2 linked regions of the Drosophila melanogaster genome follow. The protein of the gene in region 2 purifies or fractionates together with the protein of the main gene of each other region. This does not show direct contact. Each region holds a gene or a part of one and is shown on either strand. Other genes may lie near its edges. The genes, in order: Sbf and mtm.

Evidence for each region.
Region 1: the proteins of mtm (region 2) and Sbf purify together in Drosophila melanogaster (affinity purification with western blotting; one study listed by BioGRID). This does not show direct contact.

What each region holds. Positions count from the first base shown.
Region 1 is NT_033777.3:11,793,840-11,799,123, forward strand, and holds the start of Sbf (SET domain binding factor), read right to left. Parts: upstream 3,110-5,284; 5' UTR 3,005-3,109; intron 2,656-3,004; 5' UTR 2,597-2,655; coding exon 2,542-2,596; intron 2,471-2,541; coding exon 2,367-2,470; intron 2,298-2,366; coding exon 1,977-2,297; intron 1,918-1,976; coding exon 1-1,917. Other genes in the region: ClC-a (chloride channel-a), read right to left, coding at 3,603-3,908, 3,967-4,200, 4,279-4,308, 4,435-4,704, 4,890-4,925, 5,014-5,058, 5,152-5,284.
Region 2 is NT_033779.5:6,034,034-6,039,121, forward strand, and holds mtm (myotubularin), read right to left. Parts: upstream 2,983-5,088; 5' UTR 2,779-2,982; coding exon 1,245-2,778; intron 1,190-1,244; coding exon 864-1,189; 3' UTR 698-863; downstream 1-697. Other genes in the region: CG9109 (uncharacterized protein), read right to left, coding at 1-290; CG9117 (uncharacterized protein), read right to left, coding at 3,096-3,782; CG31643 (uncharacterized protein), read left to right, coding at 4,170-5,088.

The sequences.
Region 1 (5,284 bases), on a different chromosome or scaffold from region 2:
CTGGCTGTACAAAGTTGACTCCTCCGATTTGGCCAGCTCGGCTTTTTTCTCCTCCTCGATGTTGGGACTTTTGCGCAGCTGCTCGGCTGTAATTTCAAGCGCCGTGGGCTCCTCTAGAGGAACTTCGTCCAGCACACAGTTGGCCTCCTTTTGATGCTCGTTCTGACGTCGGTGAAGCAGATACAACGCCTTTATTTGACCTTGGACATCCTGAAAGAAAGTAGACTCCCAAAATTGCAGGTTTTTCCAGATGGCGTGATCCTGTATCTCTGTGTACGCAAATTGCACTACTCCAGTCGAGAGCTTACGGCAGAAGATTGTGGACATGGGCAGCAGAGCCGCAGCCACTGTGTACTCATCAATGCCGGATGATTTTTGCAGCGCCTTGTTCATGAATCGCACAACTAATTCAAACTGTTGATGGTCCAGAACTGCCTTGTTGCCGTGCACATATCCAAAGAACTCGCGGCACAAGATCAAGCGCGCATCCCGATGCATTAGGGTGCGCATCACAGCCGGCAGCAGTTTTCTGGCATCTGTAATTCGATTCTCAAAGATGTATGACACACAGATCCGCAGCACCTCCAGTCGCCTAGCCGAGTTTTGGACATTGGGACGCACATCTAATGCCTCGGGTAACCTGGGTCCCATCGGAATGATACGGTGCTGATTACGTGTTACATGAAAGCGTTGTGGCACTCCGTTCTTTCGTATCCCTTCCTGTATGATAAGCTCAACCTTTTCCGAACTTATGCGCGGAAAGGCTGGTTGATGAATACGCTGGAATGCGCCTTCCGGCGGACGCAGTACTTTTTGGGCATAGCTGATGTGAGCCAGAGTGCCCTCATTTTCATATAGAACTCGTCCCAATTCCTGGATATGTGTGAGTATCTGAAAGTAGGAAGGAAAGGTAAAATTAAAATATCCCTTGAATCTTTGAGTTCTACCTACGAGATTTCGATTCTGCGCCTCCGATTTGAGCAGTTCGTTCATTGAGCTGTAGAGCTCATCCCAGGCATCGGAGGATCGCCAGGGAGGGCCTCGTTCGTTGACAAACGTCGTGAAAAACATGCTGTCCAGCACCCTAAACAGGAATTCGCTCTCTATCAGATCGCGGGCGCCGAGAAATCCTGCCTTATGGAAGGTGATCACCGGCTTTGGGTGGATCCGAATGATAGTCAGGCAGGAGCGATATCCCTGCAGCAGCTGAGCGAAAAGGCGCATGAATATGGCGCGAAGTTCCTTATCAATCTGGGCGTCAGTCTTAGCAATAGCTGAAGGCCGCTCTAATGTGGGAAACGCCAGATCGGCCTGCGCCAGGTTTGGAAACAGGATCATGCTGAGCAGGTCCTGGGTCTGTTCCCACAGCGGTGATGGAAGAATAGGAACAGGCGGCGTCAGCGACTCGGGAATGGTAACGAGGCCGCCATCCAAATCCACCACAATAACATCCAGTAAATCCGTAATCTCAGTTTGCAGTGAGCTATGTATGCCCATAATAAATGGCGTAGGTGTGGATAACACTTCCGTGAGTGGAGCCGGCAGAATTGGTATATAAACATGAGTATACCGAAAGGGATACATCAATGCCACCAAAGCTCTGCAGCTGTCCGTCAGGTGCCAATAACACTTAGAAAGAAACAGTATCTTGTTCTCTGTCATCACGGAGCAAAGCAGTATCAGCACATTCTTGATGCCCAGCTGCTTGAAGAGGAAGTGGACTCCACTTCCAGTCGTGGGCAGGGAGGAGCTCTGCGGAGGCTGGAGCGACTGCTTGTCTCCTGCTCCTATAGAGAAGCGCACCTGCGGTCCACCCGCTGGAGGAACTTGGATGCAGCCCAGAATGTTTCCTATGAGTGTCTCCAATCCATACGCCAGGTTCTCAATGTACACCGTGTATATGGTGCCGAGACAATTCTGTAAATTAAGATAATGGCTTAATTTAGTATCTTAGGTGGTCTGACTTTTAAACTCACTTTAAAGGTCTCGGCACAGTCCAAACGCGATATAAGCACCAGACACTTTGGTGCATACATGACGCTGTGGTGCGTAATGGAAGCCGGCGTGGATGTCGTTGTGATGCCATCCATCGATGAGGGTGTGGCTCCCAGCAGCCTGCTGCTGCCGATGGTCTCATCCTCGTCGTCGACGCTGCGCGTCTGTGTGATGGCCACCGTCTCATGAAAGCTGAGGCAGGCGCAGTAGTGCTTGTTGGCATCGATGTCCGTCAGCACAGAGACGAAGAACTTGGGCTCCTGCTTCTCGTACGATAAACTCCAGCCGAGCGGCTGGCAGAACTGTCGGAATGATAAGTTAAAATTCAGATATGCTTCGAATTAAGTGAGGAATGTTTCAAGCGCACCCACCCATTCAATGCCCTCGATAAACGGAGTGTCCGGCCAATCTTTCTCGGGAAAGCGCTGAACGATCTTGCCGCACGTCGGCTGGCCGCCCACATTGCTGGCAGTTTCTGGGAAAAGGGAAATTGTTGAATGTCAGAGAATTGCTAATTATGGCTGATGGGCATGTGGATGTACTCACTCTCCTTATCACTGTCGTAGCCGACTATTACGAAGTAATCAGCGAGCCGGGACATCTTGCCCACCACATAGCCGGCCAGTCGTCTAGGATCCTACGGCTCTTTACTAGCCAAATCTAGGAGAACAAAGAGTTGAAGATGTTTTATTTTGATTTTTTTTTTGTTTTTGTTCTGTTGCGTTCTTGTAGCAGGGGACAGCGGCAGATGGATTCTATTCGCCAGTGCCGTCATCCAATTTGATATGCTAATTAGGCTCCGTCTCTGCGCTCGGCATAAATGATTAGCTCCACGGAGATCGAGGGGCCGAATTGTTATTGTATTGTCTATAGCGCCCGGAGGCGTTTTTCAGGCTTTACGAGTCTTGGTCTTCACTCTTTTTTCTTTAACCACACCCCGCCACGCAAAGTGGGATCGTTCGCCGGGAATCGGACTGGCCAATCTATATATATATATCCGCGCACACACCTCGCAGCCGGCTGCAGCCGAAATCCCCGCTAACTGCCAGCAAATCTCAAAGAATTCGGGGCTATAATAATTATTTTTAAGTTCGCATAGAAAAAGATAGATGCAATACACAATAATTTTCACGAATTATCCAACACTTTCTGCATCAGCTGATTGAATGTGTCGATATTTGATTGGCGCTTTGAATGTATCGATAGTTTCGGACTGCGCTACAAATTAATCGGCGCGAACTTAAAAGATCAATTGGAAAATGGCAAAATTAATTTCCACTTAGCCTTAAATATTCATTAAACAATTTTGGGGAAATTATAATATAATTAATCTGTTGGAAAAATAGGAAACTTGTATACTACATTAATACTCCCCAGTATATAAATAAAAATCAAACGCAGCCTTCGTTGGTGACTTGATTTTCTTTTCAACTTAAATATAAATCACGATATTTTTCACATTATGAACTAACGAGATATAAATACATAATAACATTGATGACTAACTCGTGTAAGACGTAACTTAAGATAGATGTGTTTAGCTGATCTTTACAAACATATTACGTATACGTATCGTATTAACTATTATGATGGCCGATCATCTTGTTTCAAGCATGATTTCCGTTTTCTGTGTTACTTTTGTCCGCCGATGGACTTTGCTTAGATTCCTGTGGCGGCATGGTGAGCGATACAGTGCCCTTATCCGTGTGCTTTATGTGCTCCATTTCAATGTCCGAACAGTTCTCGGAATTGGATAGTGCCGAGTCCATGGAGGTGACGGTCATGTCCACGGCCTTATCACTAGAGTTCGTCGACAGCAGAGGTTTCTCCACCGCCGGCTTCTCATCCGCATCCTCATCCCGTGTGGGGGGCACGAAACTATTGCTATTAATGTCCTCGATGGCTTTTCGCAACTGTTTAATAAAACATGTGTTATTGTTATAATCATCAAGGATATCAAACAAGACTTACTTCTTTGAGTCCCACGACACCAACAAGTCTTCCGATTTTGGTGACATAGGCGTGGTTAATACCCACCATGGAAAACAACGAGTGAACCTTGAGTATGGAGGTGCGTTCCACCAGCTGAAATGGCGAGGGATCGATGTGGACATTGGCCTTCTGCAAATCGATGGGCTTCAACATTTCCTCGAGCTCCCATTGCTTCTGATCCTCCGGTGACATGTCAATAACACGTTCCCTGGGCTGTAAATCAATCAAATCGGTAGATATTATATCTTGATTGAAATAAGGGGTTATGTAATTAAAATATTCTAAACGTACCAATCGCACCGACTTCGGCTTTTGAATGCTCTTATTTGGGATTTACAAGATAGGAGAGAAAATGTGTATGTTAACTTTGAGAGTTAATGATTCATAATGCGTTGTAAGCTCGTTGACAATAGATATTAATCAAAAGTTTGCATCAGTTTTACATACCTCAGCCAGCGATTCTGGATTTGTTGTTTCATCCACATCCTCTATAGAGTAACCCAATACATTTTCTGGTTTTATTTTACATTTCGTTCGAGTGGGCGAACCATTTACTCCAACTTCGTTAGCAAACCTTATTTTCGAGCACCTCTTGGCCGTCTGAGGAGATCTATTTACATCTGCCACTTTATTTGCTTTGAATTTAATGCTCGGTGATTGCTTTGAACTATCTCCATTATTTGATAATGCTTTATCCGTGAAATCTTTCTCGGCAGGCTTTTTAAACATTAATCTTGAGATTACAAAATTATGTATAGATAGATATTTTAAACTGGCAATACTCTACTTCAATCTTCCACTGAAATTATTAAGTATTTCTTCTACTTCAAAAAGGCCCATAGTACTACTTCATGCGTGGATACTACCCTTATTTTATAATTTTACTTCGTTTTAAGGCTTACCATTTTATTTGATTCCGTTGAAATAGGGTTTACTTGCTTGCAGATATTAAAGTAAGTTAAACACACATATTCCGAGAAAATGAATGAAATGATATGATATGAATGTTGTTAGTGAGTAACTTACCAGCATAATTTGATCTGTTACAAAATCCCAATTACTTTGTGCAGGCTTGAAAAGAGAGATTTCCTCTTCCGGTTTACTCAGCAACTTAGATAACCCAAAACCCAATTTTTATGCGGTAAATAGAAAATATGCACCTACCAGCTGAACCTTTTTGGAAACACCGGGAGTGCTAGGAGTTCGCGGCACCTCCACCTCGTGGTTGCTTGCCGCCGGGGAGAGGGAACCCGTTTCCGGATCCGGCTGTACGTCCTGGAGCGTGGTGGACTTCTTA
Region 2 (5,088 bases):
ACACGTGCCTGGGCTCTTAGATGAGGCAGTGCGTCCAGCATGGTCCAGGAGTTAAAGAGCTCATGCATCACATGGACCTTCAGGACAAAGTCCTCGGGGAAGATCCCCGCCAGTTCCAGTGCCCGTTGCTGCTCCAGCACGTTGTGCGATAAGGCTAAACAATCACTTCTGGCCTGCTGAGGATGCGGGGGACAGGCGATAACCAGGAGCACCTCTCCTGGCTTGTTACTACCGCAGCATAAGCTTGCGAGGCACAGAAGCCCAAACAGCACACATATCCTAGTAGGCATAACTAATATCTATTGCGGAACTCTAAGAGTTCCGAACGCATTTCCTGATATTTTACAAACACCTGCCCTTTTCCTACCGGAAATCGGAACACGTCTGTCCCAATGAACGTGCGATGTCGTACTGAGGCAGCTGTGATTTAATTTTGGCGCAAAGCCGAAATGTTTTGTGTCCTGTGGTGTCAAAAGTGGGATTCGGGATTTAACGTGCGTAGTCCAACGCGCAGGCGCCTCTATGAAGCGGTGTTTATGAATGAATCACAAGGAGCGTGCAACAGTTGGTCACCTGTTTAGGTATCTTTTTGACATCCAAACTAGTTTAAGGCACATATAAAAGTAGCTCCACTGAGCTGCGAAAACGCTATACGATTTGAACTATATGATGTTATTCATGAAATAATTAAAACATTCTCAGACATTTAACACTTTAATTAGATTCGATAATGTGGTTCAATGATACAATGTTGAATCGACTAGTTTTCCATTTAAGAAAAACTTTTATTTGGAATTAGAACGTAGTTCACAATACGTGCACTACATATGCGTACAAGTAGGGGGAATAAAAAAGCAATACTATTAGTGCATAGGCGAGGCCAGTCGCGTAGTTGTCTGCATGCTGTTGCTGCGGTTGTTCGACTTGAGCCGCAGCTCGTTGACGAGCTTAAAGAGCTGGTCCTGCTTGGATAGCAGTTCGCGGGTTCGCTGGCAGCCATGCTGAGGAGCGCACAGACCAGGATTCCAGCGACAGTATAGGCCCTTCCACAAGCGGACCGATCTCACGCTGGCAATCGGACGCAGCACTAGCTCGGCGCCGTGCGTGAACGAGGGAAAGAGTGGATTCAAATACTGGTCCAGCGACGAGTTGATGTGCGTCCACAGGGATGTTGTCTTGTGCTTGAGATCTACAATAAATGTGAAAATTACTTCCAAGCCCATGCAAACAGCAATCAGTCTAACCTTCGGCCACACGCTCGGCCTCCGTGTTGCAGAGGAAGGTGCCGAAGCGGCACGAGTACAGATGATCCACGATGGTTATCAGGAAGTGCTCGTTGAACTCAAATGCGTTGTTGAACTGCTGGCTAACCTGCCAGACGCTATCGATAAATTGCAGGAACACCGGAGATCTGTCTGCATCCGAGTGCTTGTTGTCGCCGTGACCAATGCGTTGTTGGAACTTGTGGCCAAAGGAGAGCCACTCCTTCTCAATGAGAACCTCGAAACCGCGCACTGTGCGATAGTGCGGATCGAGCAGCAACATGGAAAGAGCAGTCAGCTGGGCTGTGCGATCCCAGCCGTCGGAGCAGTGAACTACGACGGAGGTGCTCATGGTCTCCACCTTGTCAACAATCCTAACGGCGCCGGCCAGGATGCACCTAATGTGCTTTAGCCACAGTGTGTTGTCAATAGCCGTCTGCCACTTTGAGTCGTCGGTGGTGGGGAAGCAAGCCTCCTTCACTTTGCGTAGGCTCTCCCGCATCACGTGGATGTTGTGTATGTCGAGGAAGTTGATTTCCACGTTCTTGTACGCGTCCTCTGACTCGTAGCCGCCGCCCTTGGCCTTGTTAGCAATCGCATTGGCGCTTGGTCGCGCATCCATGATGGTCAACTTGTCTGACTGGGCGTTCGCCTCCATGATAAAGCTTAGGTATGCTTCATCGTCGGAATTTCGCTTGCCACTTACACCCACCAGCGGCTGGGAACACCTTGTAATGGTCGCTTGAGTCCGTGGGTTCATCCAGGACAAAACCGGCAGGCGGCAGCGCGATCGGAACTGTGCCACGCGCCTCAGGAAATCATCGGAGGCCGCTTTGGGCACAGCCCACACGGCCGGATAGCTGTCGCAAATTGCGTAGGACTCGTTTAGCTTGGTCGCCCGCCACATATCGTTGGGAACGCCCAAGCGGCGCAGCTCCGCCAGCGGTTCATATACCGCCCAGCCGTCCCAGCCTCCGTTACCGTTCACAGAGTTGGCCGCGGCGTGGGCGAATGCAAAGAGGCGCCCACTGTACGAGAGCGGAAAGGCGTTGGCCTGCAGTTTCTCAAACACCGTCCTCCGCGAATGATTCTGCTGCTTGTGGGCGAATCGCAGGTTTCGCATGTCCTTGCAGAAAATCTCGATGCCGTACGAGTTCTCACCGCGAGACGTGGCACCTCCAATCTTCTCCACACGCGCGATCACGCCCAGAGGCACGTCGACGACGACGGGCGGCTCCTGATCCCGCAGGGGAAGCGACCGGAAGTACAGACGGTAGTTGGTTATGGTAAGAGCGCCGAAGACGGGGCCGCGGTACGGACACACGTAGGTCACGTCGTTCTTCTGGTCCTGGTCCTCTTCGCCCTCCAGATAGCCGAAGGGCGTGTCCCGCAGAATGCCGTTTTCTCCGCCACCGTGCTTGGAGCCCAGCGAACTGGACTTGGAGCTGCTGTCCAGAGAGTTGCTGCTGGCAGTCTTGGAGGCCAACTTGTCGGCCAGGCTCGCGGAGGGATCCATTTTCGGATGGACACGAGTGGTGTTTGGCTATTGTGTTGCTGGTTGCAGCTGTGTTTTCTTTTCCAATTGTTAGCTAAATGCAATTCACCAAAACTCATGCAGCAGTGCTGCCAACTCACGCAATATAAAATCATCTGGAATAATTTCCCATTCCTCCGACAAAAGTACCAAAGGGACATTATGTAGTGGCGGAAAATTTGATTTTTATGTATTGGAATTAATCAACTTATTTCAGACATTTAACTGGTAATCAAGGAAAGCTAGAACAATTCCGCTTTTAAAAAAATCTCTAACATATGTATTTAATGCTTAATAAATTAAGTGTTAGAAGTGGCGTCTTCTTTAAGTTTACAGCGCATTGATTGTGTGACAGAAAACATCGGACCATGTCCTGGGATTATAAACTCGCACAGTTGTGCCATTTTACTGCGCTCCTCGCGCTGCACCTTCTCGTTTTCGCTTCCAGCGTCCATCCAAATGTTCTCATCGTCGATGTCCTCGCGACGCTCGAAGAGATCTCCGGTGATACCGACCCGTCCACCCAGCTGGGAATTTTCCACAAGAACTGAAACGCAGCTGAGGGTGTGTCCTGGCGACCGCCTCACTACCACCTCGGCATTCGAATCTAGGGCCAGTTGCTCGTCTGGATTACCACTACCAAGGTGGTCCATGTAGAGGTCGTGATGTGAGGCACATGCGCCGACCAAATGCATTCGTGCCTTCTGAAACAGATAGTTGCAACCGATGTGGTCAGAGTGTCCGTGAGAGCAGACCACCACGTGGATGTCATCGACGCCTAGTCCCTGCTGGCCCAACAACGAACGCAGGTGATCTCCATCCCAGGCCGTCAGTGTGTCCACGATTATGTTGGTGCCATCCCGGCAGCGGACCAGTGTGCATGTGCAGTTAGCCCGCATGGCGGACTCGTCTCCTTCTTCTTGGCGAGAATAGCCGACCTGGAGCACGGTCACCTGGTTTCGTTGCGCAGGATCAGTGTATGCCATTGTTTAGTTGTTTAACAACGATAACGCTCTAGCCTATTAAATTATTTAGGGTCAGCTGCTTATCAGCTGTTGCTTACAAACAGAAATGTCAACTCGTCAACAACCTGTTGAAAACTAGAGTTGCCACTATGAAACTTTTGACGAAATAAACAAATTACTTACGAATTAAGTAATTACTTATCTAACTTGTATACCGCTAATCACAGTTCAGAAATTATTTTAAGTTTTTTTTTACACATTGATTCCATTATTGGTTTCAGTATAATGGAAATTAGGATTTCATGGCAACACCGACACCAGCTGATCGCCAAAAATTCACTCACATGTTTATACGGCGTAATTTTGTTATTATTCAACGATTTCTGAATAAGCGTGAGATAAAGTGGCATGTATCTGAACCACCTGCCGCGGACACAATGGAAGTACCTACAATACCTTCTGCGAGTGCGTCAGCTTCAGCTCCTGCGACGGCACGTTAACATTGGCGCAAAGCCGCCCATCCAAACAGCTGCCTTGCTGCCGGCATTGGGCCAAAAACTGAGGAAGCACTCGCAGCTGGTGAACGGAGATCTCCAAGACAAGTTTGGCGTGCCACGGGAACAGGATGCTCTTCTAACCCGACTGGAGGAGGCCAAGACGGGTAACCAGATTTTAGATGTGTTGGAGAGCTGTGACGGCCTGCAGAGCTCCCATGTGGTGATGGGAATCTCACTGCTGTGGAACATCTATCACGACGCGGAGCAGGCAAGTAAAGATGCCATCACGGATCGCGTGCTGCTTAACGTGCTCCCAAAGTTGGCCCCTTATGTACACCAACTGGAGATCGATGATCTCAGTAGATGCTACCTGTACCTGCGCAAAATGCATATACCAAACTCCGAGGCAGTCGTGGAGGCCGTGCTGACGAGATCTCTTCAATTAATCGAGTCACAAGTTGATGACGAAGTCATTCCCTTGACCTCCTTGTCTCGCCTCTCGGTGGGCATCAACTTGGAACGCGACTTCTTCACTCCGCTTGTGTGTAGGAACTTTATTCCGCACCTGGAACATCACATCAATTGGTGTCGCAGCGCAGAGCAGGTTCGCCTTCTGTCCACGTGCCTCTTTCAGCTACACTTTCTCATTGATGAGGAGCTGTTTACGCGCTTCAAGTTGCGCTTGACTGAAATGATGCAAAGCGGCGTCCTCAGCAGCGAAACCCCTAAGGCTCTTCTGAAGGTGATCCACATGCTGAATATTCCAGTGTGGTCGCAGACCCACACCCAATTGATTCGGGAGGTCATGCTGGTCTTGCGACCTTGCATAC